Linked DNA regions of Mus musculus: all the other regions are reported to be linked to region 1. The links are microRNA targets in miRTarBase. Many come from high-throughput screens and were not tested one by one. Region 1 holds a microRNA gene; each other region holds the end of a gene's coding sequence.

Region 1 (10,679 bases):
TGCACATATATGGGGGGAGGATGCCATGAGGCCAGGCTGATCCCTAGGTCATTTTGAAGTTATTCAGGAATTTGAACTGCTGATCCAAAAGGCAAGCGTTTTACCTGGTAAGTTAACTGAGACATAGCTCTGGCCATTCCTGTGAGTGAGTGTGTGTGCATGCGTGTATATGCATATTCATATAGAGAAGTGTATGTGCACAAAGCTATACACACATGCACATTCTTTATGGTCATCACATGAATAGCATGCTGATCTCTAACTCATCATGAAGTTAAACATGAATTTGAACTCTTGATCCACCTGACTCTGTGGTGTGAGACCTCTCCCTATTGAGTACTGCAGAATCTCTAAAACTCTAAGTCACATATCATTCAAATGGACTGAGGAGTGGCATGCGTGTGTGTGTCTGTGTCTGTGGATGGGTCTATGTGTGTGTAGGTATGTATATTCATATACACAATCCACACACAGTTACACACATATACACATACATGGGGACATCACATGATTCCCAGGCAGATCTCTAAGTCATCATGAAATAAAGCATGAATTTGAACTCCTGACCTCCTGATTCTAACAAGCATTTTTAACATGATGGGTGATAACTCTCCCTGACCTAGTCACACATAATCTCCAAAGCTCACAGTCACATAGATCAATGAGTGAGTGCCATTCCTGTGTGCCTGTGTGCTCATATGTGTCTTATGTGTGCGTGTATGTATATGGATATCATATTCACATATGTACATGTACACACACATAAACACATATACACATACATAGGGGCAATCACATGAATGCCAGGATGACCTCTAACTCATCATGCCTTTACCATGAACTTGCACTCCTGATCTTCCCGACTCTACCAAGGGTTTTCCCGTGGTTTGTGAGACCTCACCCTGGCCCAGTCATACATAACCTCCAAAGCAGTAGGTCACATATCATTCAAATGGATCCGTGAGGGCCATTCCCGCATGTCTGTGTGCATGTGTGTGTAGGTGTGTGTATGTATATGCATAAAATATACACGCATATACATGCGCGCACTTATGCACACAGGCACATACATAGGGGCCATCACATTATTCCAGGATGATCTCTAACTGCTCATGAAGTTAAGCATGAAATTGAACTCCTGATCCTCCTGACAATGCCAATTGTTTACACCTTGTGAGTGAGACCATTCACTGTCCTTCTACTGCATAATCAGTAACATTCTAAGACATATATCATTCAAATGGATCGATGAATGCCATACCTTGGTGTGTGTGTGCTTGCTTTTATACGTGTGTGTGTGTGTGTGTGTGTTATGTATAATCATATACACACATGTACATGCACACAAAATTATGTGTGCATGTACATACCTAGGGTCCATCACACGAATCCAGGATGATCACTAACTGATCATTAAGTTAAGCATGATTCTGAACTCCAAGACTTCTGATTCTGGCAAGCGGTTTTCATCTAGTTGGCGAGATATTTCACTGTACCATAAATATACACTCTATGAAATTCTAAGCACATATAAAACTTATGGATGACTGCCATGTGTTTCTGTATGCATGCATGTGTGAATATGTGTCAATATATGTCTTTTCATATATCCGCATGTACAGACAAACTTATCTATACACATACACAGAAACAATCACATGAATAACAGGCTGATCTGTAACTCATCAGGAAGTTAAACATGAATTTGAACTCTGGGACCTCCTGACGCTGGCAAGAGCATCCACCTCCTAACTGAGACATAGCTCTGGCCCAGCACTGCATAAGCTCTAAAGCTCTGAGTCACATACCATTCCAAAGGATATATGAGTGCCATTCCTGTGTCTGCATGTGTGTATATGCATATTCACATAGAGAAGTGAATATGCACACAACTACACACACATGCACATTTTGGTGTGCATCAATGAAACACATGCTGATCTCTAATGCATCATGAAGTTAAACATAAACTTGAACACCATATTCTCCTGACTCTAGCAAGATTATTCACCTCCTACCTAAGAAATAACTCTGGCCATTCCTATGAATGTGTGTGCATGTGTGCATATGCATATTCATATAGAGAAATGAATATGCACACAACTATACACACATGCACATTCTTGGTGGGCATCACATGAATCCCGTGCTGATTTCCAACTCATCATGAAATTCAGCACAAATTTGAACTCCTGATCCACCTGACTCTGGCAAGGGATTTCACCTGCTGAGTGAGACCTCTCCCTATTCAGTACTGAGGAATCTTAAAACTCTAAGTCACATATCATTCAAATGGACTGAGGAGTGGCATTCATATGTGTGTCTGTGTATGGGTCTACGTGTGTGTAGGTATGTATATTCATGTACACAAATCCACACACAGTTACACACATATACACATACATGGGGGCATCACATGATTCCCAGGCAGATCTCTAAGTCATCATGAAATAAAGCATGAATTTGACCTCCTGACCTCCTGATTTAAACAAGCATTTTTAATATGATGGGTGATAACTCTCCCTGATCTAGTCATACATAATCTCCAAAGCTCACAGTCACATAGATCGATGAGTGAGTGCCATTCCTGTGTGTCTGTGTGCTCATATGTGTCTTATGTGTGCGTGTATGTATATATCATCATATTCACACATGTACATGTACACACACATAAACACATATACACATACATAGGGGCAATCACATGAATGCCAGGATGACCTCTAACTCATCATGCCTTTACCATGAACTTGCACTCCTGATCTTCCCGACTCTACCAAGGGTTTTCCCGTGGTTTGTGAGACCTCACTCTGGCCCAGTCATACATAACCTCCAAAGCAGTAGGTCACATATCATTCAAATGGATCCGTGAGGGCCATTCCCGCATGTCTGTGTGCATGTGTATATAGGTGTGTGTATGTATATGCATAAAATATACACACATATACATGCTCACACTTATGCACACAGGCACATACATAGGGACCATCACATTGCACCACTCTTTCATGAAGTTAAGCATGAAATTAAACACCTGATCCTCTTGACACTGTCAATTTTTTACACCTGTTGAGTGAGACCATTCAGTGTCCTTCTACTTCATAATCAATAAAATTCAATGACATATATCATTCAAATTGATCAATGAGAGTCATACTTATGTGTGTGAGTATTCAAGTCTGTATGTGTGCATGCATGTGTATGTATATGTATAATTATATGCATACATGTACATTCACACAAAGTTACACACACATGCACATACCTAGGGTCCATCACATAAATCCAGTACGATTTCTAACTCATCATGAAGTTAAACATGAATTTGAACTCCAGATCCTCCTGACTCTGGCAAATGGTTTGCATCTGATTAATGAGATGTTTCCTGTCCCATGAATATGCACTCTATAAAACTCTAAGCACATATAAATCAAATGGATGATTGCCATGTGTATTTGTGTACACATGTATGTGTCCATATATGTGTATATATATGCATATACATATACCCACATGTACAAGCACACTTACCTATAGACATATACACGTACACAGAGGCAAAAACATAAATTACAGCCTTATCTATAACTCATCATGAAGTTAAACATTAATTTGAACTTCATATCCTCCTGACTCTGGCAAGAGTATTCACCTCCTAACTGAGGCATAGCTCTGGACCAGTACTGCATAAGCTCTAAATCTCTGAGTCACATAACATTCAAAAAAATATATGAGTGACATTCGTGTATGTGCATGAGTATATATGCATATTCATGTATAAAAGTGAATATGCACACAACTATACTCACATGCACATATTTGGAGGACATCACACGAATCGCATGCTGATCTCTAACTCAATGTGAGTTAAACATGAATTTGAACTCGTCATCCTCCTGACTCTGGCAAGAGTGCTCACCTCCTAACTGAGACATAGCTCTGGCCATTCCTATGAATGTGTGTGCATGCGTGTATATGCATATTCATATACAGAAGTGAATATGCACACAACTATACACACTTGCACATTTTTGGTGGGCATAAGATGAATCCCATGCTAATCATGAACTCATCATGAAATTCAGCACGAATTTGAACTCCTGATCCAACTGACACTGTCAAGGGATTTCACCTGCTGAGTGAGACCTCTCCCCATTCAGTACTGAGGAATCTTAAAACTCTAAATCACATATCATTCAAATGGATCGATGAGTTGCACTGATGTTTGTGTGTGTGTTTCTGTTTGTGTCTGTGTACATGTATATATTTGTGTAGATAGGTACATCCATATACTCAAATCCACACACAATAGAAACAGATACAGATAGAGATACATAGGGGGCATCACATGAATCCCAGGCATATCTCTAAGTCATCATGAAGTAAAGCATGAATTAGAACTCCTGATCCACAATCTTTCACACCTGGTGAGTAAAACCATTCACTGTCCCACTACTGCATAATCTTGAAAACTTTAAGTCACACATCATTCAAACGTATAAATGAATGCAATTTTTTCCTGTGTGTGTGTGTGCTTGCATATACACGTGTGTTTATGTTATATATAGCATGTCAACAGAGATAATGCACATACAAGTAAACACACATGCACATTCATGGGAGGCATCACATGAATACCAGGATGATCTCTAACTGAATTAAGCATGAATTTGCAATCTTTATCCTCCTGACTTTGTCAATCTTTTACACCTGGTGAGTGAGGACATTCAATGTCCCCTATTGCATAATCGCTAAAACTCTACATCACTTATCATTCAAAGGGATTGGCGAATGCCATTCCTGTATCTGTGTATGTGTGCTTGCGTTTATACGTGTGTGTGTATGTTATGTATATTCAAATATAGACATGAACATGCACACACAACTATACACACATGCACATACATGGAGGAATCACAGGCTGATCTCTCATGAGGATAAGTATGAATTTGAACTCCTGATACTCTTAACTCTAGCAAGCATTTTCACTCTAAGTCACTTATCACTCAAATGGATTGATGAGTGCCATTCCCATGTGTCTGTGTGCTCATATGTGTCTTATGTGTGCGTGTATGTATTTGTATATCATATTCACACATGTACATGTACACACACATCAACACATATACACATACACAGGGGCAATCACATGAATGCCAGGATGACCTCTAACTCATCATGCCTTTACTATGAACTTGCACTCCTGATCTTCCCGACTCTACCAAGGGTTTTCCCGTGGTTTGTGAGACCTCACCCTGGCCCAGTCATACATAACCTCCAAAGCAGTAGGTCACATATCATTCAAATGGATCCGTGAAGGCCATTTCCGCATGTCTGTGTGCATGTGTGTGTAGGTGTGTGTATGTATATGCATAAAATATACACGCATATACATGCAGGCACTTACGCACACGGGCACATACATAGGGGCCATCACATTATTCCAGGATGATCTCTAACTGCTCATGAAGTTAAGCATGAAATTGAACTCCTGATCCTCCTGACACTGCCAATTATTTACACCTGGTGAGTGAGACCTTCACTGTCCCTCTACTTTATAATCAGCAAAATTCTAAGACATATATCATTCAAATGGATCAATGAGTGTCATTCTTATGTGTGTGAGTGTGCACGCCTGTGTGTGTGAATACATTTGTATGTGTGTGTATTTATATGTATGATCATATACACACATGTACGTGCACACACAATTATATGCACTTGTGCATACCTAGGATCCATCACACAAATACAGGGTGATCTCTAACTCATTATGAAGTTAAGCATGAATTTGAACTCCTGAGACTCCTAACTCTGGCAAGTGGTTTTCATCTGATAAGTGAGATTATTCCCTATACCATGAATATACACTCAATGAAATTATAAGCACGTATAAATCAAATGGATGACTGCCATGTGTGTATGTGTGCACATGTATGTGTCCCTAGTTGTGTGGGTGTGTATATATATATATATATATATATATATATATATATATATATATGCATGCTCATATACGCGCATGTACAGGCACACTTCCTTTTACACATAAACACATACACAGGGAAAAATCACATGAATTCTGGACTGATCTCTAACTCACCATAAAGATGAACATGAATTTGAACTACTCATCCTCATGATGCTGGCAAGAGTATTCACCTCCTAACTGAGTCAAAGATCTGGCCATTAGTGTGAGTATGTTTGCATGTGAGTATATGCATATTCATGTAGAGAAGTGAATATGTACACAACTATACACACATGCACATTCTTCGTGGGCATCACATGAATCGCATGCTGAACACTAACACATCAAGAAGTTAAACATGAATTTGAACTCCTCATCCTCCTAGCTCTGGCAAGCATACTCACCGCCTAACTGAGACATAGCTCTGGCCATTCCTATGAATGTGTTTGCATGCGTGTATATGCATATTCATATAGAGAAGTGAATATGCACACAACTATACACACATGCACATTTTTGGTGGGCATAAGATGAATCCCATGCTGATCATGAACTCATCATGAAATTCAGCACGAATTTGAACTCCTTATCCACCTGACTCTGTCAAGGGACTTCACCTGCTGAGTGAGACCTCTCCCCATTCAGTACTGAGGAATCTTAAAACTCTAAGTCACACGTCATTCAAATGGATCGATGAGTTGCACTGATGTTTGTGTGTGTGTTTCTGTTTGTGTCTCTGTACATGTACTTATTTGTGTAGATAGGTACATCCATATACTCAAATCCACACACAATAAAAACAGATAGAATAGAGATACATAGGGGACATCACATGAATCCCAGGCATATCTCTAAGTCATCATGAAGTAAAGCATGAATTAGAACTCCTGATCCACAATCTTTCACACCTGGTGAGTAAAACCATTCACTGTCCCACTACTGCATAATATTTAAAACTTTAAGTCACATATCATTCAAATGTATAAATGAATGCAATTTTTTTCCTGTGTGTGTGCTTGCATATACATGTGTGTTTATGTTATGTATATCATGTCAACACATACAATGAACATACAAGTAAGCACACATACATATACATGGGTTGCATAACATTAATACCAAGATGTCTCCAAATGAAGTTAAGCATGAATTTGCAATCTTTATCCTCCTGACTTTGTCAATCTTTTACACCTGGTGAGTGAGGACATTCAATGTCCCCTATGGCATAATCGCTAAAACTCTACATCACTTATCATTCAAAGGGATTGGCGAATGCCATTCCTGTGTCTGTGTATGTGTGCTTGCGTTTATACGTGTGTGTGTATGTTATGTATATTCAAATATAGACATGAACATGCACACACAACTATACACACATGCACATACATGGTGGAATCACAGGCTGATCTCTCATGAGGATAAGTATGAATTTGAACTCCTGATACTCTTAACTCTAGCAAGCATTTTCACTCTAAGTCACTTATCACTCAAATGGATTGATGAGTGCCATTCCCATGTGTCTGTGTGCTCATATGTGTCTTATGTGTGCGTGTATGTATATGTATATCATATTCACACATGTACATGTACACACACATCAACACATACACACATACATAGGGGCAATCACATGAATGCCAGGATGACTCTAACTCATCATGCCTTTACCATGAACTTGCACTCCTGATCTTCCCGACTCTACCAAGGGTTTTCCCGTGGTTTGTGAGACCTCACCCTGGCCCAGTCATACATAACCTCCAAAGCAGTAGGTCACATTTCATTCAAATGGATCCGTGAGGGCCATTCCCGCATGTCTGTGTGCATGTGTGTGTAGGTGTGTGTATGTATATGCATAAAATATACACGCATATACATGCAGGCACTTACGCACACAGGCACATACATAGGGGCCATCACATTAGTCCAGGATGATCTCTAACTGCTCATGAAGTTAAGCATGAAATTGAACTCCTGATCTTCCTGACACTGCCAATTGTTTACACCTGGTGAGAGAGAATATTCACTGTCCCTCTACTTTATAATCAGCAAAATTCTAAGACATATATCATTCAAATGGATCAATGAGTGTCATTCTTATGTGTGTGAGTGTGCATGCCTGTGTGTGTGTGAATACATTTGTATGTGTGTGTATTTATAGGGATGATCATATACACACATGTACGTGCACACACAATTATATGCACATGTACACACCTAGGGTCCATGACGCAAATCCAGGGTGATCTCTAACTCTACATGAAGTTAAGCATGAATTTGACACGAGAAGACTCCTAACTCTGGTAAGCGGTTTTCATGTGATAAGTTGGATGTTTCCATATACCATGAATATACACTCAATGAAACTCTAAGCACGTATAAATCAAATGGCTGACTGACATGTGTGTTTGTGTGCACATGTATGTGTCCCTCGGTGTGTGTGTGTGTGTGTGTGTGTGTGTGTATGCATGTTCATATACACACATGTACAGGCACACTTCCCTATACACATACACACATACACAGGGAAAATCACATGAATTCTGGACTGATCTCTAACTCATCATAAAGTTTAAATGAATTTGAACTGCTCATCCTCATGATGCTGGCAAGAGTATTCACCTCCTAACTGAGACAAAGATCTGGCCGTTAGTGAGAGTATGTTTGCATGTGAGTATATGCATATTCATATACAAAAGTGAATATGTACACAAGAATAAACACATGCACATTCTTGGTGGGCATCACATGAATGGCATATTGAACTCTAACTCATCATGAAGTTAATCATGAATTTGAACTACTCATCCTCCTGACTCTGGCAAGAGTACTCACCTCCTAACTGAGACATAGCTCTGGCCATTCCTATGAATGTGTGTGCATGCGTGTATATGCATATTCATATAGAGAAGTGAATATGCACACAACTATACACACATGTACATTTTTGGTGGGCATAAGATGAATCCCATGCTGGTCATGAACTCATCATGAAATTCAGCACAAATTTGAACTCCTGATCCACCTGACTCTGTGAAGGGACTTCACCTGCTGAGTGAGACCTGTCCCCATTCAGTACTGAGGAATGTTAAAACTCTAAGTCACACGTCATTCAAATGGATCGATGAGTTGCACTGATGTTTGTGTGTGTGTTTTGTTTGTGTCTGTGTACATGTATATATTTGTGTAGATAGGTACATCCATATACTCAAATCCACACACAATAGAAACAGATACAGATAGATATACATAGGGGGCATCACATGAATCCCAGGCATATCTCTAAGTCATCATGAAGTAAAGCATGAATTAGAACTCCTGATCCACAATCTTTCATACCAGGTGAGTAAAACCATTCACTGACCCACTACTGCATAATATTTAAAACTTTAAGTCACATATCATTCAACGTATAAATGAATGCAATTTTTTCCTGTGTGTGTGTGCTTGCATATACACGTGTGTTTATGTTATGTATATCATGTCAACACATGCAATGCACATACAAGTAAACACACATGCACATACATGGGTGGCATCACATGAATACCAGGATGATCTCTAACTGAATTAAGCATGAATTTGAAATCTTTATCCTCCTGACTTTGTCAATCTTTTACACCTGGTGAGTGAGGCCATTCAATGTCCCCTATTGCATAATCTCTAAAACTCTACATCACTTATCATTCAAAGGGATTGGCGAATGCCATTCCTGTGTCTGTGTATGTGTGCTTGCGTTTATACGTGTGTGTGTATGTTATGTATATTCAAATATAGACATGAACATGCACACACAACTATACACACATGCACATACATGGAGGAATCACAGGCTGATCTCTCATGAGGATAAGTATGAATTTGAACTCCTGATACTCTTAACTCTAGCAAGCATTTTCACTCTAAGTCACTTATCACTCAAATGGATTGATGAGTGCCATTCCCATGTGTCTGTGTGCTCATATGTGTCTTATGTGTGCGTGTATGTATATGTATATCATATTCAGACATGTACATGTACACACACATCAACACATACACACATACATAGGGGCAATCACATGAATGCCAGGATGACCTCTAACTCATCATGCCTTTACCATGAACTTGCACTCCTGATCTTCCCGACTCTACCAAGGGTTTTCCCGTGGTTTGTGAGACCTCACCCTGGCCCAGTCATACATAACCTCCAAAGCAGTAGGTCACATTTCATTCAAATGGATCCGTGAGGGCCATTCCCGCATGTCTGTGTGCATGTGTGTGTAGGTGTGTGTATGTATATGCATAAAATATACACGCATATACATGCAGGCACTTACGCACACAGGCACATACATAGGGGCCATCACATTAGTCCAGGATGATCTCTAACTGCTCATGAAGTTAAGCATGAAATTGAACTCCTGATCCTCCTGACACTGACAATTGTTTACACCTGGTGAGTGAGACCTTCACTGTCCTTCTACTTTATAATCAGCAAAATTCTAAGACATATATCATTCAAATGGATCAAAGAGTGTCATTCTTATGTGTGTGAGTGTGCATGCCTGTGTGTGTGAATACATTTGTATGTGTGTGTATTTATAAGTATGATCATATACACACATGTACGTGCACACACAATTATATGCACTTGTGCATACCTAGGGTCCATCACACAAAAACAGGGTGATCTCTAACTCATTATGAAGTTAAGCATGAATTTGAACTC
Region 2 (10,679 bases), not on the chromosome of region 1:
GGATAATATTTGAAATGTAAATAAAGAAAATATCATTCATATATATATATATATATATATATATATATATATATATATATATATATAGAGAGAGAGAGAGAGAGAGAGAGAGAGAAGAGGGCCCAAAGAGAAGAACAAGTTAACTGTGTATAACTGAGTATAAAGTATAATTGCGGGCTGGTGAGATGGCTCAGTGGGTAAGAGCACCCGACTGCTCTTCCGAAGGTCCGGAGTTCAAATCCCAGCAACCACATGGTGGCTCACAACCATCTGTAACAAGATCTGACTCCCTCTTCTGGAGTGTCTGAAGACAGCTACAGTGTACTTACATATAATAAATAAATAAATCTTTAAAAAAAAAAAGTATAACTGCCTATGCAAAGGGCCTAGAACAGAACAATGTGGCTCCCTGGTTGTCAGTTCAGTCTCTTGAGGCTCTATGTGTTAGTTGATTTGATGGGGTTTCTTTTTTTCTTTTCTTTTCTTTCTTTCTTTTTTGTTTTTTTGTTTGTTTTTTTTTTTTTTTTTTTTTGGTTTTTTGGTTTATTTTATTTTATTTTATTTTTGATTTTTTGTTTTTTGAGACAGGGTTTCTCTGTGTAGCCCTGACTGTCCTGGAACTCACTCCATAGACCAGGCTGGCCTCGAACTCAGAAATCCGTCGATGGGGTTTCTTATAGTGCCCTTGACCCCTCTGACTCCTACAATGCTTCTTCCCTATTTTTAGCAGGATTCCCTGAGCTGTGCTTATTATTTGACTCTTTCCATCAGTTACTGGATTTAGCTTCTCTGTTGAAAATTGGGCTGGGCTCCTGTCTATGAATATAGCAAAATATCATTAGGAGTAAGTTTATTCTTTTTTTCCAGCATGTTTGGTTCTATCCTAGGGCTTTGGGTCTTGGCCCTCTAGGAAATGTTAGAGATAGGAAGGACACTTCATGCTCATCAAATGAAAAATCCATCAAGATGATGTCTCAATTCTAAACATCTAGGCCCCAAATACAAGGACACTCCTATTTGTAAAAGAAACAATACTAAAGCTTCAATCACACATCAGACCCAACATATTAATAGTGGGAGACTTCAACACCTCACTATCATCAATGGTCAGTACCTTCATACAAAAAGTAGACTGAGAAATAATGGACGTAACAGATGCTGTGCCTCAAATGGGTGAAACATATCTACAGAACATTTCACCCAAACACTAAAGAATATACCTTCTTCTCATCACCTCATGGAACCTTCTCCAAAATGGACCACATACTCAGTCCATAAAGCAAACATCAACAGACACAACAAAATTCAAATAACCTCCTATATCCTATCACACCACTGCAGACTAAAGCTGATTTGCCTCCTTAATGAAGCCCTGTGTCTTGGTGAGCTTCCCTCCAAGGTGGAAAGGTTTAATCTTGAAGAAAACTGCTAGATAACAATTTTTTTCTTTCTCTAACTCCAGAACAGAAACCCCAGTAATATAGAGACTGGTCTAATTTACAAACTTCTATCAGGAGAGTCTGATTTACTTCTCTCAACAGCCAGATAATCCTTTTCTTTTTTCATTTTTTTATTAGATATTTTCTTCATTTACATTTCAAATGCTATCCCTAAAGTCCCCTATACCCTCCCCCCACCCGCCAGATAATCTTAAAGCAATGAGGTAGAGCTGCTCTGAGAAGGTACTCAGGAGTAGCAAACTCTTCTCTAATCCTGGAGTAATTCTGTTGTTAGAAGACTCTTAAAATCCAATTGTTTCTGTTAGTTTTTATTAATTTTTAATTAAATTTATTCTTTTTGAAGCATAAAACATAAAATTGTACCTGTTGATGTATAATTAATATGAAATGTGGAATTTGACACACGTATACATTGCATAACTTTCATACAAAGCTAAGCACATCTATCCTAAACATTTCTTATTTATGAAGAAAACTGAAAATATTTCTGTCTTAGTTAGGGTTTTATTGCTGTGAAGAGACACCAAGACCACAGCACCTCTCACAAAGGACAACATTTAATTGGGGCTGCCTTACATTTTCAGAGGTTTAGTCCATTATCACCATGACAGGAAGCTTGGCAGTGTAGAGGCCTACATGCTGCAGGAGGTGAAACCTAGAGATCTACATCTTGATCTGTAGGCAACAAGGAGAGACTGTGCTACACTGAGCATAGGTTGAGCATAGGGGACCTCAAATCCCACCTACAGTGACACACTTTTTCTAACAAGGCCACACCTCCTAATAGTGCCACTTTCTATAGGCCAAGCATTCAAACACGTGAGTTTATGGGATCAAACTTATTCAAACCACAACTTGCTTCTACTTTCGGGGGCTGGTGAGATGGCTCAGTGGGCAAGAGCACCCGACTGCTCTTCCGAAGGTCCAGAGTTCAAATCCCAGCAACCACATGGTGGCTCACAACCATCCGTAACGAGATCTGATTCCCTCTTCTGGAGTGTCTGAAGACAGCTACAGTGTACTTACAAATAATCAATAAATAAATCTTAAAAAAAATAAAATAAAATAAAAATAAAAATATGCATACATAATCTTTAGGGACATACTATATAGAGTCACTGCTGTTTAGTTAGGTCTTATTTGGATTTTCTATTATTCTTGGGATTAAATCCAGGGCTTTCTCTGTGTTAGAAAAGCTCCGAACTATAATCACAGTCCTTTTGTTGTTAGCTTTCAAGGGAAGAAGGTCTTTTCCCCCAGATCAGAGCATCCAGGGGAAATAGTGGCGCTCTTGGAAACCATCTGAAGCACAGGAAAACTCCAGAGTAGGTTGGAAAGCCAGAAGTCCCAAGGGAAATTATCATCGCCACAAAACTGAGAGCAGCTATACTTTGAAGAAAGTATATGCTCCAGTGTTTCTGGACCACAATATATAAAACACTGTCACAGTAGTAACATGTGTGCATGCATGCTTCCACCTCGGTCCTCAACATATAATGTTTATCTGCTGAGGTATTCCTTTCTCTCTCTTTCAAGATGGTTCCTACAAGAACCTTCAAGGGCAAGCATGGGGTCTGATAGAGGAAATATTGAGGTAAAGGAAAATATTAAAGGATTTAATATTTTTTCTAGAATGGATATAGGAGAGGAGATGGGACACTTTGAGAGAATTCATGGATTCAGAGGGAATACAGCAGGGCAAATGTGGGGCAATGGGCTATGCACAGACAGCCTGGTTTCCAGTAGAGGCTAGGTGTGAACCCTGGAGAAACCCAGTGGTGTTAATTCCCACCTACATGGGACAGAAGGTCTCCTGGACCCCTCGCTCCTGTCATAGTTACCGCCCCCACAGGAGAAGTGTGGCTTTTAGTCACATAGACAATGTCCCAAGCTTCTGGCCTTAAGGCTAGCCGACTCCCAGTTACCTAGCCACAACAAGATAACAAGCCCACCATAAGAGAGACTGCTTGGCCCCTCCTCACTCTCTTACTCTCTTAAGCTTTTACTTTCCTTACTCTCCCTCTAACTCTCTTCCTCTCTCCCCCTTCCCTCTTCCCTCCATATGGCCATGGTGGGTCTCTCTCTCGTTCTACCTTTTCTCTTTCCCCCTGCCTTAAGTTCTAAACCATAGACTGTCTCTGCTCATCAAGGCCCGCTGTGCTTGGATGATGGGATAGGCTTTCTCCTAATGAGCTGTGCCTAATCTCCCGTCAGAAGGCCTTCCTGTGCTCCAGCCACAGACTGGACTAAGGACTCTCACTTGCATGGGAACCTCTCTCCCTCTGCCCTCTTTCCTGTATCTCCAGCACTGAGGGTGTCGCCCTGGGGCCTCTGGTATGGGGGAGGGGCTGCCCCTTGTCCCCCCACTGCTGAGTGGGGTCAGTGGCTTCACACAGCCAGATGCCCACCTGGGGCCAAGTGGGAAGCGACCAGCAGTCTTCCTGCATCTACCTGCCCAGAGCACAGGAACTCTGGCAGGACACGGGTTCTCTCCTTCTCTCTTTCCCCTACACCCAGCAGCCCCACAGGCAAAGATGTGAAGCTAAAAAGCTAAAAAGCCCTTTGTGGCAGATAGAGGCCATGAGATGGCCACTGTTCTTACTCTGGACTGTTAAGTACATGAATCTTAAAGTATTTCTAATGTCTTAGTAACTAAGCCTTATGTAAATCAATTAACACATAAATTATAATAAATTAACAGAGAACCATGACAATTAATTAAATATGTGTTTGTCACCAATAACCAGGTACTGTTATGTGGTAAAGACTTGCCTGCTTTGGTGTTTATCAACTGTGGTATTTGTAAACAATGGCCATGCCTCTGCTTTGTCAAGGTAGGAGCTGCACATGGCTTTACTCATCTTCATGCGTTCTCCTTCTCAGGTGATTAAATCATGGCCCTCATGTTTTTTGTTTCTATAACCAACTGGGTTATTTCTGAGAAACTGGCAGCACATTTTCCAGCTGCAGATTCACAGTTGTATTTACAATTAATATTTATTGAGTGTTAATTGGGTGCCTGACCTTGTACTGGGGACTGAAAGGGGCTCCAGTTGCTCTTGATTTATGCAGGTACTCTTTGGACAGCTCCATATACTTCCACTGTCTCATATTCCTATAGGATAACTTGTCTCTCATCTTTTGAGTTTTTGGTGACACAGAAATTGAGCTTGTTTGTGACATACATTGAGAAAGCTCACTCCTAGACAGTGACATGTAGAACCCCAACCCTGTACTGTTAGCATTGGGAACTAAAAGTGGGTACTCGTTCACATACCCACTTGAAGTCTAACTTCCCATTCAACTCGTACATTTATTACAGTAAGTCAAGCATCGTGGCCTTAATAAACCCCCCATTGATTTCTCACATATTTATTTGGAAGTCTTTTAGGCAAATGTTTATTTAAATCAGAAAGTCCCAGAAGCAAAGGAAAAACAACTCCGGCCCTATATCCCCTTCTGTGTTTGTGGAAAATTTATTTCCTGGTTTTTGTCTGATTCATTTTTTTTAGTAATGCTGAGAAGAGATTGACCAGGGACCAGTTTAGGCAAGTACAACTTTATTCATTCACCTTGGAATAAAGATATAAACACCCATACAGAAAAGCACCTCTTTGATCATTTCTTCCCCTTCCATTTTGGGGAAATAACTTAGTGTTCTTTCATGGCAAACATCATTTTTATATTATCAAATACATCAATAACATTCTTTTAAAAAATGGTGCTCACCACCCAGAAGCTGCTGATTTTGCTCACATTCTTCATCTTAACTAAACTCATTACGCATTTGTCCAGCATATCCAGTCATACAAATATGTCACAGAGCTGTTTTTCAAGGACAGCTTATAAAGGGGCTACTTCAAGGCGACTCCGTTCTAGCCTCCATGTCTTCTGGTTTCTGGTCTGTTCCATTTTGAAAAGAAAAAGAAAATGTATCTGTACAAATAAGGAAAGGCTGGGCAGGCTTTTGAGTGGGGAAAAAAATTAACTACTTAATTAAATATTCAGCCTGTTTATTTTGTAGGGATAAGATATGCACTATCTAGGCTTTTAAACTCTCTCTGTCTCTATCTCTGTCTCTCTCTCTCCCTCCCTCCTTTCCTCACTCTGTAAAATAGGCTGCATTTCTCAATATCCTTGAAGAAGCCAGGTCTCAGGACAGGTATAGGGGCCTAGTTAGCATACAAAGGAAGCTGAAGATTACCCTCCCACTCATCAGCATCTCTGATGTCTCTGTCTCTTCAGATTCAGGCCTTGCATTTCCCTTTATCCCTTTAAACTAGTTTTTAGGCCATAGTGGGAATCTTTCAAGCAAACAAGAAGTTTTACCAGAATGTAGTGTATACATTCCTTTAAAAAAAATATGTTGTGTAAAGTACTCGAAAATTGACTGTGTTCCTAGGGTAGACCAATAGGTTCTCCAAATTCTAAGCTACTTTATAGCTAGTGCATGAAAAAATATATACTTATGTGTGTTAGATGGACATGGGTCTTAGAAACAAGTTGGACACACCATACTGTGTATTACAAGTGTACAAAACCAAGTGTGAACATGCTGGCAACATCTGATTAAAGGCAGTGAGGATCCAAGACGGATGGAGTGTCTTAGTGTGTACATCCTGCAGCTATGCATGGGAGCAACCTTCTGCATGTCAGAGCTTTAGAAGATGGTAAATGGACCTTTCTAGAGAAGGAGACCCCTAGACTATGCTCTCCTTTCTTATGGAGGACTTTGAGAGTCCTTCTACATTTGACTACAATGACCTCAGGAATGTCCTCTGTGCTCTATCATTCTCCCTCATCACTCAGGGATGAACTAACACATGTTAGAGACATACTCTGGAGTTGACTAGACTCCGGGCATGCTCCATGAAGAACTGCCCTTCAAGGCTAAGGTCCCTGAGTGGTAGCCTTGGCACACAGTAAAGATAAGGGAGACAGAATACAGACTTTTTTTTAAGCATTTTTATTACACAGTAAAGAGTACAACAATACCTGAATCATACTTTAAAGATTCACAGGTTGACAGACCATACATTACAGTCCAACTAAGGAAAAAAAAAAAAAAGGATAAACAAGAAACCACAGTTCGGACATAGTAGACTTAAAAGCTCAAGAGTATGCAGACAAAAGCGTGATGCCTAGCCCCCGCCCCCCAGTGTTAGTCTACCGTTAACTTGTGGCACGTGTCTGAATTAAGTATTGCACAACAACTTTAATTTTTCACAATAATGTCGCAGAACCCAAAATAATTAAAATAAAATTACTTCAAATCTGCATTTCAACAGTCTCCAATTTTTTTTTTTCTGTCCCTTGAGGAATTCGGACAACATGGAGTCGCTTTCTTTCCCTAAGTATTCCAGACATAGGCATGCTTTGCATAAGTAAACCAGCCTTGAAATTTTTAAATCCCCAAGACATGCACCTACACATTAAAAAAAAAAAAGTTCAGAAAAATAAAAATAAAAAAGACAGGTGGCCCTGTCACACACAGTCTCATGACAGAGAAAGAGAAAGAGAAAAGAGACAGAGATAAGAGATAGAGGACGCCCTATTCCTATCAGCGACCACCATTCAATTCTATCCAATGAAGATAACTTTTTTTTTAATGTGTAATACCTACAAATCAATACTCTCACATAGCCTGTATATAAGTGACAAGCAAAAAAGGAAAGTAACAAAAGTTTTCTTTTCTTTCTCTTTTTTAGGTTTATGAGGTCTGCATTGTTACCAAGAAGTGATATGGTTTGCAGCTGTATGACTTTTGGTATCCTGGTTCTTTTGTGCCCATTTGGTTTGACTAGACCAGTTTTTGTTAGCTACTGGTGCAATATACATGCTGTCAGAGGTAGAGTGAAACTTTTTGCCACTGAGGAGAATGTAGCAAAACAGGAGGAGAGGAAGAGGAGGAGGAAGAGGGGAAGGAGGAAGAGGAATTAGAGATAGAGCTCAGAGTTAGGGATTTTTTTTTTTTTTGTATTGGTTTTCACTCAGGGTGCCCTGAATTAAAAAGTAATGAGACGGACTGTACTAATCCTTACTTTACACACTAGTGTTCAGAATAACAGTGCTGTTCCACGTACATCACAGCTTCTTGAGATCGAGACGTGAGGGTATGACATACCTCATTTTTGGGATTATTTAACCCTTCGTAGCCTAGAACATAGAATAGCTCTAAGAAAGGACTGTCCAGTGTCACAAGCAGACTAGAAAGCAGAATGAGGTCAAAGGATTCTGGGAGCACCATGGTAAGATAGAACCCATTCAGAGCCTGCTTATGTGCTTCTCGTTGCCTTTAGCAGGTGTGCTGGCAGATGGACTTCCAACATGCAGATAGATATAGATGCATTTATTTGCTCATCAGAACTTCCTAAATTAAAAGGCCATTGAAAAGAAAAAAGAAAAAAAAAAAAAAAAAAAAAAGAAAGAAAGAACACAACACCACCGGAACAAAATCAAAACCGACTGGTATATGAAAATATGGGGGAAATGGTTTAAGAAAAATCTTAGATTTTCGAGACATAAAGCAAACCCAGGAGGATTGCCTCTATGCAGATAACTTAAATACAACCACTTAAAACTGTATCCAAGGGCTACATTACCCGCTCCCCTCCCCCTCCCGCAAGCTAATGGATTGTACTCAATTTGTAAAGAAATGCCTGGTGTATGGGTATGTGGAGAAGTGTCTTCCCAGCCTTGTCAACTTTGGTTGTCTACACAGCCTGCAGCACTGCCGACTCTTAAAGCACACAACCACATCCTGGGCTAATGTGTTTCAAAACTAACCAGTAGTTCTGGTCTGGACCCTGGACAACGAAGGGTTAATGGATTCACACTGAACATGTTCAACCTGCTGATCATTTGGAAAGTACCACTGGTGCTTTTCAAAGTTCCGATTTTGGTCCCTCAGATCAGTCTTTGGCTGATTTCCCTTTTGTAAGAACACTGTATTACCTGGCACTCAGCAGGGTTAAAGCTGTTCGTCTACACCTCAGCATTTGGAGCTCTAATGATTTTTTTCATTTTTTTTTTGTAAAATTAGAAATACTTAAACAACCTTACAGCAATATGCATGCACTGTCCTTTTTTTTTTTAAAGTAGGATATCTTATTTTATTTTTTTTAAAAAAGTCCCTAATAATTTCTTTTCATAAAAAAAGGATAAAAGAAAGAAAAATTCCACTACTACTCTATGCTACAGCTAAAATTGGTGAAATGGCTCTAGCATATTTAAAAAGTTGGTTTGAAAAAAAGAAAGCATGCCTAGGGAGTCATTGTGACAGTGCAAAATACATTTATGTACATCCCTCTTAAAACATCCATGTGCTAGCATTCCATGAAGCATGCTGGTTTCCAGGAAAAAAAATCCTATAAGAGAGTGAGTTAGCAGCTCCAAAAGATAGCTTTTTCTTTTCTTTTCTTTTCTTCTTTTCTTTTCTTGAGGACAACCAAAAAAGTTTTTTTTTTCTTTTTTTTTTTTTTTAACTACTAGAGAAATATCACTAATACATACAGATATAAAAGCAGCATAGAAAGATACAGGTTTCTCACCAACTAGGAATAAAGAGACTAAATGTGGGCATATGGGTAAACTACAACGCATCTTCACATTTGTCCAACACATTTACAAGAAAAACACCATTGGGAAAACCTCACAGGACAGAAGTGTTTTAATACCAAGAGAACTACTAGATTTTAATTAAAAATCCAAACAGGGTGGGGTTGAAAAATTTTGGAAAGGGGCTGGAGCTGAAGCCACCATTTTTTTTTAAATTAGTTTTCAATATAAAATGAATGAGCTGGAATAGACCCAATGTCTTAGTCTGTGGAACCTTGCAAAAGTGAAGAAATGTTGAAGGGTTATTTAGGGCAGCTGGCTGACTTGGAAGCTGCCAGAATGCTAATTAACTGCAGGCTGAGTCTCTTAAGTGTGTGTGTGTGTGTGTGTGTGTGTGTGTGTGTGTGTGTGTGACTATATATATAAAAAGGAGCCTTTGTATTATGGCATTTTTTTTTCTTGCTGCTGTAGTCATACACCGCACTGGAAATCATCTTTCATTTTTCATTCTGTTGACCTGGATATTATTATTTCTTTTTCAGAAACAGGAAAAAAAGGACCATCTGTGTCTCCTTCCAATCTGCTGCACATCTGCGCGTTTTGCAGCGGGTCTTCAAAGTTCAGTTAGCAACCCACAGACGCCATTCATCTTCTTGTTAAAATGTCTACTTCTGTATCCACCGCTCATGCCCTTGAGGAATTGCCTCTTTTTTTTTTTTCCATTATTGTATATAAAGAACACTGTGACTTTTAATATTAGCATTTTTGCTTTCAACAGCAATTAGCAATCTCTTGGTTTGCTGTTTGGTAAAGCACTGGTTAATGAGGTCATCTAGTTTAAAATCCCAGCTACTTGGAAATAACAGGGAGGAGGTCAAATCTAGCATTTCACGTTATATTCTTTCCTCTCTTTTCAGTTCTCTAAAGAAAAGATATCTTTGTTATCCACAGTAAGTCATTACGACCCGTTACTGGCCTCTGTGTTCTACTATCGCCTCAAAGATACAGTTAGGTTCTCTCTTGCCGAAGTACTGAAATAAGATAGATAGTTCATCTATAAACAAACAAACAGAAAAGGGACTTTGAGCATCTGAGGATGAGGAATTGCTTTCGTGTTGGTTGTGGTGTCTTTCCTCTGACAGTCTGAGTTTAGGTCTAGCGAGGCGTCGTCTCTATGGTAGAGGGGGTTCCCGGGGTGGTAGACCTCGGAGTGGCTGCTGGTGGTGTGTCCATTGGGCTCCCAGCCCCACTGCTGGGTGTGACTGAGGAGCTGACAGCGGGCGTGTCTCCCTGCTGTGGGGCCTGCAGGGTCTGTCCACAGATGTGGTGATGCTTCTCCCAGTCTTTATGCTGGCAAAAAGAGCCACAGTATCGGGCCGTGTTACAGCCGCTGCACGTCTCACTTGCTTTCCGGCCACAGTTCCAGCAACTCTGAAGGAGAAGGAGAGATCCCAGGTGAATATTCATGAAGGTAAACATCTAGTAAACAGGGAAGGCATCACTGCTCCCACATCTCCAAGAGCTACAGAGACAAAATGGACGATTCAGAAGACCCTGGCTGAACTTCCAGTCGCACCACAGCCCCACCCTCTCCCTACCTCTCCAACCTGCTGCCCTTCTCCCTGTCAACGCCCCCATCCCGCAATACAGGAGTGTGAGACG
Region 3 (10,679 bases), not on the chromosome of region 1:
TCAGTTGCAGTTCCCTCCTTTCAGATGACTCTGGCTCCTGTCAAGTTGACATAAAAACTAGCCAGAGCTTCTGTGTTATGTCTGAGTAGCTTGGTGGTTCTGTGGGAATCCTAACCATGGGAGTGGGGGCTGTCCCCGATTCTTTTGCCTGCTTATGGGACCATTTCCCTTACTGAATTGCCTCGTCCAACCTTGATGTGGTGCGATGGATGTGCCTATTTAAATATGCCGTATTTGATCGATGTCCCTGGGAGGCCTGCTCTTTTCTGAGGGAAGCTGGAGGGGAGTAAATCTGGGGGAGAGGGGAGGTGGTGGGGGAGGGACAGGGGAAGGGGAGAGAGGGGAAACTGAGGCTGAGATATAGTATATGAAAGAATTAAAAAAAAAAAAGCCTGGCCAGCACACTTATCTTTGCTATCAATTTTTTTTTTTCTGTTGACTTAGAAAGTTAATGTCCGAGCTGCTGAGATGGCTCAGTGGTTAAGGGCACTGACTGCTCTTCCAAAGGTCCTGAGTTCAAATCCCAGCAACCATATGGTGGCTCACAACCATCTGTAATGGGATCTGACTCCCTCTTCTGGAGTGTCTGAAGACAGTGACAGTGTACTCACATATAATAAATAAATAAATAAATCTTAAGAAAAAAAAAGAAAAAGAAAGTTAATGTCCAGCTGGGCAGTGGTGGCGCACGCCTTTAATCCCCACACTCGGGAGGCAGAGGCAGGCAGGTCTCTAAGTTTGTGGCTGGCCTGGTTCTCTGAGGGAATTTGAGGCCAGCCTGGTCTACAGAGCGAGCCCAGGACAGGTGGGTGTACTGAGAGTTCTGGTTTCTTTAAAACCCCCTCATGTTATGTGCTTTTGTTTTAAGCCCAAGTGTGGGATATGGGGCTTCTTCAGTTTGTCCTCAGCCACTATGATTGTCTTGTGCTCCAAGAGGGGCATGGTTTTGCCATCTGCAGATAGTTTAATTCTAGAGACTCTGGAGAGGATATTAATACAAGGGCCCCTAGAAGGCCTACGGCAGCTGCTCCCCTTGCTGTTGCTGGGATGCTGACTTGCCCCTGGGAACACCACAACCTAACCAAGGAAGAAGCCTGTGGAGGTCTTCGTCCTCTTTCCTCTGTAGCCTTTCTCTCCTACCTCATGTTGTATTGGGGCGGGGGGGAGGGTTAGAAGGGAGAGAATAGTATAAGAACTCTCAATAAAATAGATAAAAAAGACAAAAGTCAACAGCCAAGCCTATGCAGAGAAACCTTGTCTCAAAATAAAAATAAAACAAACACAAAATCTAGTTGTATAGGGTGAACCCACAATTATTCAAGTTTCTGAAGTGATACACTGCTGTGTGATTATCACCACTTCTTTCCTTTCAGGGCTACGAGGGTAGAGCGCTTGCCTGGCATGCAGAAAGCTCTGGGTTAGACCCCAAGAACCTTAGAACACAGAGTAACAGGGAGGCAGGGCAGGCTAGCCAGTGCAGCAGCAGACTGAGGCCATTGAAAAACGTAAACAAAAAAGTCACACCGGACCACATATCTATTAAGATAAAACACAGCCAGGCATGGTGGCACATACCTTTAATCCCAGCACTCGGGAGGCAGAGGCAGGTGGATTTCTGAGTTCGAGGCCAGCCTGGTCTACAAAGTGAGTTCCAGGACAGCCATGGCTATACAGAGAAACCCTGTCTCAAAAAACCAAAAAAACAAAAAACAAAACAAACAAACAAACAAACAAACCAGGGGGGGTGGGAATCCTTTTTAATGGTGATGGAGACTGAACCCAGAACCTGAACGGTTGTAGACAATTGTTCTGCCAGCCAGCTCTAACTTCAGCCCTTATTCACTGTTGTTTTGAGTCTCACTGTATAGCCCAGGCTCGTTTGTCCCCCCCCCCCCCTCACCCCCCGACTTGGGATTACATTTGTGTTATCACCAAGACTGCTTTCTTGTTCTTGCTTTCTAGTTTAAGACAAGCTCTCAGGCGTCCCTTCCCTTTCTGCTCTGAAACTGGATCTTATGTAGCTCAGGCTGGCCCGAAGTCCCTACGTCCCAAAGACATCTGATTCTTCCTGTCTCCACCTCCTGAGTGCTGGGACCCAGAGCTTTGTGCAACCAACTGTGCTACATCCCTTGCACCCGTACAGACCTTTTTACTCAAGCTTTTTCCAGCCGGGGAATGTCCGTTTCAGGGTACAAAATTGGCTTGTGCCTCATTCTTCCTATGGCGCCGCTGGGAGTCTTCTACCCTGAGCTATTTCTGGTCCACTTGCTTGCACAAGCTCTAGTATGAGGCGCGCCGCCAGAGTTATTTATTCGTCTGTTTCGGGACGGTGGGCCGGTTCCCTCTCTGCACTCAGACATTTGCTAAACTCCAGGGAGAAAGTGCAAATACTCAGGCTGGGCAATGGTGTCGGAAAGGTAAAGAAGGACTGCAGAGCCCAGCGTTGCATTTGTTGGGTATCTCGGGGGGGGGAGACCGCGGTGCATTGGCGGCCTCAGCAGACGCCTCCACAAGGAGGAGAGTGGAAGCAGATGGCCAGGCTAAATTGTAAATCTTAACATCTACTTCAGTCAGTCTTTCGACCACTATCAAATGTGAAATAAATAAATAAATAAATAAATAAATAAATAAATAAATAAATAAAACGCAAAACTCTGCCAAGTTACACCATTCCGCAGCTAACAGCCTGAGGAAGCCCCCGCTGCCGCCCCGCCCACCGCCCGGCCCCTCCCACCGCCCGGGCCGGCCCCGCCCCTAGCCTTGCGGGCGTCTGTGGGTCTGCAGCCGCAGGGTCATGGGTGGGGACAGCTCAGGCCCTTTCAATTCCGGAACCGGCGCACGCCTCAGGACCTGAGTCACCAACTGTCACCAGGGGCCGGAAGTCACCACCAACTCTCACGGCTGGGAAAAGGTTTCCTGTGAGCCTGCGGGTGCTCGCGGACTACGACTCCCAGCATGCTCTGCGGCAGCCGCACTTAACCCTTCAGGGACAGGAGCTGCCCTGAGTCCCGCCCCCCACCTGCCCCTTCCTCGGACCCGGCAAGGTGAGTTTTGAGGGGCTGGGAGGGTCTTTTTCCTCTCTAGGGCTTAGGAGTGAGTGAAAGTGAGGGAAACGGGCGTTTTGTTTAGGAAGGATTCTTTATTTTCCAAAAATGGGACAATTTGCAGTAAAAAGATTCTGACGCCCTTTTGCAAATGGGAGACCCACTGCTACTCTGCGAACTCCAGGGCCTAAGTGGAATGACCAGTCTCTCAGAATGCCATGTAATTCTTCTTTATCCAAGAACAGAGTAGCCAGAACCTCCTAGCTCCCAAACATCATCTTTTCCCTTCATCAGCGCTTCCAGCAAGGTTTGTGACTCAAAGCTCAGCTAAGGTTTTTGATGTGATCCTGACCAATGGTGTGTCCGTGTGGATACCTATGAACTCCTTTGGAGGTCCTGTAACCTTTTGGGTTATTAGGGGGCTCTTTGTCTCCCAGGGCCCCCTCCATGTGTGTGTGTGTGTGTGTGTTCCCTCCATGCTCACTAGGCATTATAGCCTTTTGTTTGATTTGAATAACATTGTCTTGTTGAAAAATGTTCCTTCTTTGGAATTATGTGTGACAGATGTTAAGCCTTGCCTACACTGGAACCCCTAAACCAACATTAGGTATAGAAGTCAGTGGGTAATAACACGCTCGAGTTACTGTGCATAGTTTAAGGTTGGGGGTAGGTGGGGGCCCAGGGATTACAAGTTCTAAGGATACGGGAAAAGACAGAAGGGAGTGCAAAGGCCTCCTCTCACCTTTTACTGTTTCCAGAACAGATTTTAAAACTTCCCACCTGATACCAGCCCCCCACCCCTCTACCCCGACTCCACCCCAAGCCCTTGCTTTGCTTGGGCTTTCCCACGGTCTAAAACTAATGCAAGTTTTTGTTTGTTTTTCTACTTTAGTTTTCTTCTTTCTCCCCTTAGCTCCTATCTCAGAATCACTGGCAAACATCCTATCTTCACCCTGGAGGTTAACAATCCCTATTCTGACAGGTCTCGTGTTTCTTCTCTGTACCCTTAAAGAAAACATTCTATTCAGCTGTAGGAGAGTGGTATCAGAGGGAAGAAAACTTTGGGGGCAGGAGTCCTGAACCATAGGAGGCCAGGGGAGTGAGGGCAGACAGGCATAAGTCTCTTCCCCCTCACCCTTGCCAACTGGCTCCCTGTCCCTGCTGCTGCCCCCGCCCCTTGACATCCCAGACTCCCTGCCTATTTAAACAGAGATGGGTGCCCCCATCAGCACATTGTTCTTTGGCCACCTGACATCATGCCTCCCAAGAAGGATGCTCCCGTGAAGAAACCAGCAGGGCCCTCCATCTCTAAGCCTGCTGCCAAGTCTACACCAGGGACCCCTCTAGCCAAGGCCAAGGCTGAGCCGGCTGCCCCCCAGGCACCTGCAAAATCCCAGGAGCCCCCTGTTGATCTCTCCAAAGTGGTGGTGAGTCCTGGGGAAGTGTGAATCTGGAAGGGATAGTTCAGAGATGCGGTGCAGCCTTGGGTATCCGGGAATATGTGGAAAGGATAGGGAATGAATGAACGCTGGAATGAGGTTGGGGCTCCCAGGTCAGGCCAGTTTCCGAAGTGAAGGGAGAGGGGTGCTGTCTGCCTCTGGCTCTTCTGTTCAACTCAGAAGGCTACATCTCTGAACCCCAGGAGGGGAGACTGAAGAGGGCAGGCTTGTTAGACAATCACAGCTGGGGGCAGGGGTAAATTTAGCCTTTGTTCAGCCCCCAGTTATGTGAGGGATGCAGGACTCGGGGTAGCAGGAGGGAAGGGAACAGGTGGCATGGGATTAACCCTGTTCCCAAGAAACCCTCCCCCTGTAATTCCTCTTGGGATTCTCCCAAGGCCCAGAGCTGGGGACAGGACTGAAGTGGCCCGGCTCCCCGCCTTCATCCCTTTGGGTCCCTCCCCAGAAGTGGCTGCCAGTTGGTTGTGATAGAGAGGGACTGAATAAGCCCTGTCATCTCCTCACCTGCCCTTTTTGTCCCCTACAGATCGAGTTTAACAAGGACCAGCTGGAGGGTGAGGAGAAGCCCATTTCCTAAGCCCCATTGTCAAACCCCAAACTCCTGGTCAGATTCTCTGTTCTAACGACAGTCCTGACCTTGAAACCTCCCACACTTGTCCTGTTCTCCTCCCTCCCATGCCTGGCTCTAGCACATGAATTTCTGAAGCAAACCTCCCTCTCTCTGTTGGTGATGGGGATCCTTGGTCACACTGCCTTCTCCTTACATCTCAGAATTCAGAGAGGCCTTTGAGCTGTTTGACCGAGTAGGTGATGGCAAGATCCTGTACAGCCAGTGTGGGGACCTGATGAGGGCCCTGGGCCAGAACCCTACCAACGCCGAGGTGCTCAAGGTCCTGGGGAACCCCAAAAACGAGGGTGAGAGGAGCCTTGAGTTTTGTGGGGGTTTCTGTTTTCTTCTTGGTGTTGAACGTTGAATACAGGGTTCTGCCTGGGCCATTGAGCTACATTTCTAGCCAGCAACTTTCTCTTCTTCCTCTTTTTCTTCTCTCTCTCTCTCTCTTTCTTTCAAGATAGGATTTCAGTATCCCAGCCAAGAATGACCTTACATTCTGATTCTCCTATCTCCACCTCTTGCTACTGCCCACTAGAGTGGTGGGATTACTCCAGTTTATGTAGTGCTGGGTTGAATCCAGGGCCTCAGGCAAGCCAGGCAAGCCCTTATTACAGAGGTACTGTTTTTTTTTACTTTTTGAGACAGGTGCTCACCAAATTACTCAGGTTGGCCAGGGACCTACAGTTCTATCCCAGCAGCCCCAATCCCCAGTTTTCTTTTTCTTTTTAAATTTTAATTATTATTATTGTTGTTTAGATAGTGTTGTTACTACCACCACTACTACTACTATTACTACTACATAGGGTGTCTCTATATAGCCCTGCTTAGCCTGGAACTCATTGTATAGACCAGGTTGGCCTCAGACTCAAGAGGGACTTCCCCTGCCTCTGAATGCTGGGACTGAAGGTGTGTGGGCTTAGTGGTTCTCTCTTTCTGTTTTGAGTGTGTCCAGCCACTGGGCTACATCCCTGCCTTTCCTTTTTTTTTTTTTTTCCTTTCTGTTGAGACAGTCTTAAGTTGTTCTGGCTGGCTTTGAACTTGCCTGGTAGCTGTAGTTACAAAACTGCACCACCAGGCCTGGCAACAGTTTCAATTTTCAATGACAGAATATTGGTAAGGTGACAGAGGACGCTAGGATGGACCTCAGGACTCAAAAAACGTCAAACACAGGGAAGAGAAACATCCTGAATGCTGAAAGGGATGAAAGTCACAATAGTAGGGTTGGATGGCACTGGATCCCACACCTCAGTTGATCTCTCTCATCTCTATCTAATTGCACTGGATCCCACACCTCAGTTGATCTCTCTCATCTCTATCTAATTGCCAGAGCTGAAGTCCCGACGTGTAGACTTTGAGACGTTCCTGCCCATGCTGCAGGCAGTGGCCAAGAACCGGGACCAAGGCACATATGAGGACTACCTAGAGGGGCTTCGTGTGTTTGACAAAGAGGGCAACGGCAAGGTCATGGGTGCAGAGCTCAGACATGTTCTTACCACTCTCGGTGAGGCAGGGCCCAGAGCTGTGGGGTGGAGAAGTGGGGGGTCCTGGAAGAGCTAAGTAGAGCCTAGAATGGGTTTATGGTCCTGCAGTTATGGGCAGGAGACTCAAGAGGGCCAGCATTGTGGAGACAGATCACCTAGAGGCTAAAGTGTCCAGCTATGAGCCAAGGGCAGGGAATGCAATGTCCCCCTTTGCAAGCCACAATTGTGTTGATTCCATGCAAGTCTCAACCCCGGCAGCTTGTTTCGCTGTCAAGTCAAAGCTTTCACCTGCTCCAAGGCACCGTTGATATGAAAAAGGGCAAGGGTGGGAGGATGAACCACCCTGAGAATGTCTTGGGCTGGTGAGGCAGGGAAGGCGGGGGACTCTAACTGTTTTTGGGTTCAGGAGAGAAGATGACTGAGGAAGAGGTAGAGACTGTTCTGGCAGGCCACGAGGACAGCAACGGCTGCATCAACTATGAGGGTGAGGGGGCAGGATGGCCAGGGAGTAAGGAGACTTGAGGGGGGTGGGAGTACCCTCAGTTACCCGAAGGTCAGTTTCTCAAGTCCTCTCGTCTCCTTTCGTGCAGCCTTCCTGAAGCATATCCTAAGCCTCTGAGCTCCGCAGGTGGCCCTCCAGCCAGCCCCTGGTATCCGCTTGAGAGGCAAGGGTCCTCGATCCACCAGATAGAAGCGCAGGCAGTGCGTCTCCGCGCCCGTCCGTAGCGCAGCCGCCAGGGCTGGACTATTTCCTTCCCCACCCCCCACCCCCTCCCACCCCCACCCCACCCCAGCCCCGACTCCCACCCCACGTAGAACCTGCAGCGACGGAAACTTGCCCCACCTCCTGTGCGGCCAGAAGCGCGTTCCTGCCACTAGGGGGCACTTACAGTTTTGAAATAAAAACATGGTTCCTGCTTCGGTTTCCGACAGTTTTCTTTTGAGAAAGAGGAAGGACGGGAGCGGGTAGTCCTCTCTTCTGCAAAAGCCCAAATCCTCTGCTCTTGGTGCAGCTCGGAAGAAAGGTTTCCGAGAGTCCCAACCCAGGCCCCCCTGCTAGATTCCTGAGCCGAGGTAGGGCGCCCCCCCCCCACCTCATTAATAATGTAGTGATGTCATCTGCATGAGCCCAGACTAGCGTGCCTATTGGATGAAACGGCGGAGGGTGACGTCATGCGCCATGGGACGTACTAAGGCTGGGGTTGGGTAGGGCGTCGGAGCCATTACTGCCGGAAAAGGTCCAGCAGAGCTCAGCAGCCAAGATGGTGGGCCCTGGGAATCGGGAGATCAGGGGGATTTGGGGCAAGGAGAGGACCGCGGGTGGGAGTAGAGAAAGCAGTGGACGTGGGCACGCCCAGGTTTTGGAAGGTTGGCTGTGGGATTGGAATGTCTAGGGCTTTGCCCTGGGAAGCGAATCCTCGGCTTCAAACAGGAGTTTGTAAAGCCGGGATAGAAGCTTGCGGGGTTGGACCTCAGGTAACTGACCAATCCCTTCTTCTCCGAGCAGTGTGACTTCACCGAGGACCAGACCGCAGGTAGGCAGTCTCTGACCCGCAGCTCAGGTCATCCTTACCGAGAGGGACCCCCTTCCTTTAGCATCTATCTTCTGATCCCAACCTGTCACCTCCAGCGCTCCCAGGAGAGTGCCCCGTGGATTTCCTTCTGCTCTAGATCCTCCATTTTCTTTTCTCATTCTTTCTTCCTTCCCCTTCCACTCCAGATCTGAGCCCCAAGCGCTGGGTGAGTTTTAGGTGGTGTGGGTGTGTGAAACAATTTGACTAGTGCCTGTTATGTGTCGGGTCTATTACGCTTGTGGTTTGCTGCTTCTTTTTTTGCCTCTCCTCTGATAACTGTCCCCTCCTTAAGCTTGGATTCTGAGTACTGTAGAGGGCAGTGCCTTGATATTTTGTTAAGATGGGCACTGGAGAGTTTGCTAAGGATGTGGCTTCACCTCTTGGAAGGTCTCCCGGAGGGGAAGGGTGGGAGTGGGAGGCTAGAGTCCAGGCTCTTACTTCCTTATATGGGCAGGACCTAGCCTGGGCGGTGGCAGATTCCTGCGGAGTTGTATAGTAGTGGTGGAGAGCCTAGCCTGCCGCAGCTCAGGGGGTGTGTAAACAGATGGCTACCACCTTAAGGTAAGGGAAAGAAGGTTGCCTGTCTTTATGTGGGGCATTTGAGTTGATAGAAATAGATCCCTAGGAGTAGTCTTGTGTATAGAGGAGGACAAGATATCTGGTTTCTGCAGCATGACTTAAGTTGAATTGGCAGCAGAGCTGTGCAGCAAGCACGGGGCTAATCCCTGGTGCTGCCGTTCTTCTGAATCCTCAGAATTCAAGGAGGCTTTCCAGCTGTTTGACCGAACAGGTGATGGCAAGATCCTGTACAGCCAGTGTGGGGATGTGATGCGGGCCCTGGGCCAGAACCCTACCAACGCCGAGGTGCTCAAGGTCCTAGGGAACCCCAAGAGTGATGGTGAGCATTTCAAGAATGTAGTGGGTTCATGGTTGTTCAGCTAAAGTCATCCCTTTATCTGCATAGGTGCCAAACTTGAGCAAGTTTTGTCTCATCCAGTTCTGATTCCCTCTTCTGGCCGTCCTTGTGTTCCCTACCGTCATGTCCTGAGAACATGTGTGACTTCTCTTGTCTGACACCTCCACCTCCCACATGACAGAGATGAATGTGAAGGTGCTGGACTTTGAGCACTTCCTGCCCATGCTGCAGACCGTGGCCAAGAACAAGGACCAGGGAACCTACGAGGATTATGTTGAAGGCCTTCGTGTGTTTGACAAGGAAGGAAATGGCACCGTCATGGGTGCTGAAATCCGTCATGTCCTAGTCACACTGGGTAAGGGTCTGTGACCTTTCTGGAGCTGAGCTGCCACCTGATATATTTCACCCGTCAGTCACTCAGTTCTAAGAATGTTCCTTCCTCTGCAGGCGAGAAGATGACAGAGGAAGAAGTAGAGATGCTAGTGGCGGGGCATGAGGACAGCAATGGTTGCATCAACTATGAAGGTGAGGGGCAGACCATAAACTGGGGCCTGTGAGGAAATGGTCGTTCAGGAGATGTTAAAGAGGCATTGTATTCCTAGACTTGGTTCCAGAAGGGAGTCGGGAGTCAAAGGGGCAAGCAAGGCTCAGTCCAGCCTGGGAGGGAACTGTTGGGGAGACAGCAGTAAAGGGGGGGGTGATGGAGGACGGAGGGTGGGCTAGGAATGGGACGTAAACAGAATGTCTGTTCCACTGCCTGACCCCTTCACCCCATGTCTGTGTCTTGTCTTCACCATTAATGTCTCTTCCTTCCTGCAGCATTTGTGAGGCATATCCTGTCGGGGTGACGGGCCCATGGGGCGGGTACGGCTCCTCCCAGCCTCTCCTCTAGTTATCTCCCTAGTGTTTTTTTTTCCTTCCCAACCTGTGCTCTAGCCTCTGGCCATACCCTACTACCATCTGCCTTACTCCTGGCATGACTCTGCATGGAGCTGGCTTGGGAGGGGAGAAATTCCTCAATGAGGAATGCAGTTTGGGGGTGTGGTACCTCCTCTCCTAGAATGGTCTCTGAGATTTGACTTACAGGGGTCTTGGTGCTGGTGTCTGGGAACGCTCACCAGCTTGTAGGGAAGGCTGGTCTGATGGTGATTCTAGAGTTGGCGGGGGCAGGGTTGAGCTAACTGCCCCATTCTGCTGCTAAAACAAAAGTCCTTTTTCCATCCCTCTACTGGACAGCGTGGAGGTACCCTAACCCAAAGCTGACCTCTCCTCCTGCCAGTGGCTGACCATAACTGTAGGTGTAGCTGAGAACTTTTCTGCCTCTGCTATGTTCTTGCTATTTAGATTGGGGGTGGGGGCTAACAGCCAGTGGGAGGGGAACCAGGGACAGAGAGAACTGGCCACTCTGAGTGGCTCTTTTGAAAACTGACCCAAGGTTGGTTGCTATGGGCATGTTCCCTCCTGCCACCTTCATGGTCTCGTGGTCTCCTGGCCCATGGGTACCCCTCCCCAGCCCTCTCCTCGGCTGACTCCGCCTCTCTTCTCCACAGAGCTTGTCCGGATGGTGCTGAATGGCTGAGGACATTCTGTA

The links. Region 1 holds the annotated microRNA mmu-miR-467b-5p (GUAAGUGCCUGCAUGUAUAUG, at 5,387-5,407, opposite strand). A microRNA usually pairs through its seed, bases 2 to 8, with sites in the 3' UTR of a target mRNA and lowers its output. Matches are read on the target gene's strand: a 7mer-m8 pairs with bases 2 to 8, a 7mer-A1 pairs with bases 2 to 7 and ends in A, and an 8mer does both.
Region 2: the mRNA of Runx1t1 is a reported target of mmu-miR-467b-5p. Seed matches in the 3' UTR shown: 7mer-A1 at 9,384-9,390.
Region 3: miRTarBase lists Myl6b as a target of mmu-miR-467b-5p. Seed matches in the 3' UTR shown: 7mer-m8 at 7,481-7,487.

What each region holds. Positions count from the first base shown.
Region 1 is chr2:10,498,014-10,508,692 of GRCm38, reverse strand. It overlaps Mir467a-10 (microRNA 467a-10), which reads right to left and starts at 5,420; the gene lies at 5,338-5,420. The region is part of intron 10 of Sfmbt2 (Scm-like with four mbt domains 2); the gene reads right to left. Mir669a-11 (microRNA 669a-11) reads right to left here and starts at 7,354; the gene lies at 7,268-7,354. Mir466b-3 (microRNA 466b-3) reads right to left here and starts at 5,128; the gene lies at 5,048-5,128. It also overlaps Mir669a-12, Mir467a-9, Mir466b-2, Mir669a-10, Mir467e and Mir466p, and 2 more genes.
Region 2 is chr4:13,889,381-13,900,059 of GRCm38, reverse strand. Runx1t1 (RUNX1 translocation partner 1) reads right to left here. Exons shown (of 11, transcript NM_009822.3): 11 at 5,004-10,448. The coding sequence ends at 10,173. Among named protein-coding and RNA genes, the nearest start is that of Gm11823, 100 kb to the left of the region's middle.
Region 3 is chr10:128,490,993-128,501,671 of GRCm38, reverse strand. Myl6b (myosin, light polypeptide 6B) reads left to right here and starts at 2,987. Exons shown (of 7, transcript NM_172259.1): 1 at 2,987-3,044; 2 at 4,255-4,471; 3 at 5,031-5,058; 4 at 5,276-5,419; 5 at 6,445-6,618; 6 at 7,005-7,082; 7 at 7,189-7,515. The coding sequence starts at 4,301. The coding sequence ends at 7,217. Myl6 (myosin, light polypeptide 6, alkali, smooth muscle and non-muscle) reads left to right here and starts at 7,786. Exons shown (of 7, transcript NM_001317218.1): 1 at 7,786-7,863; 2 at 8,106-8,133; 3 at 8,927-9,070; 4 at 9,270-9,443; 5 at 9,536-9,613; 6 at 9,908-9,952; 7 at 10,639-10,679. The coding sequence starts at 7,861. The coding sequence ends at 9,936. It overlaps A430046D13Rik (Riken cDNA A430046D13 gene), which reads right to left and starts at 2,425. Exons shown (of 2, transcript NR_131151.1): 1 at 2,146-2,425.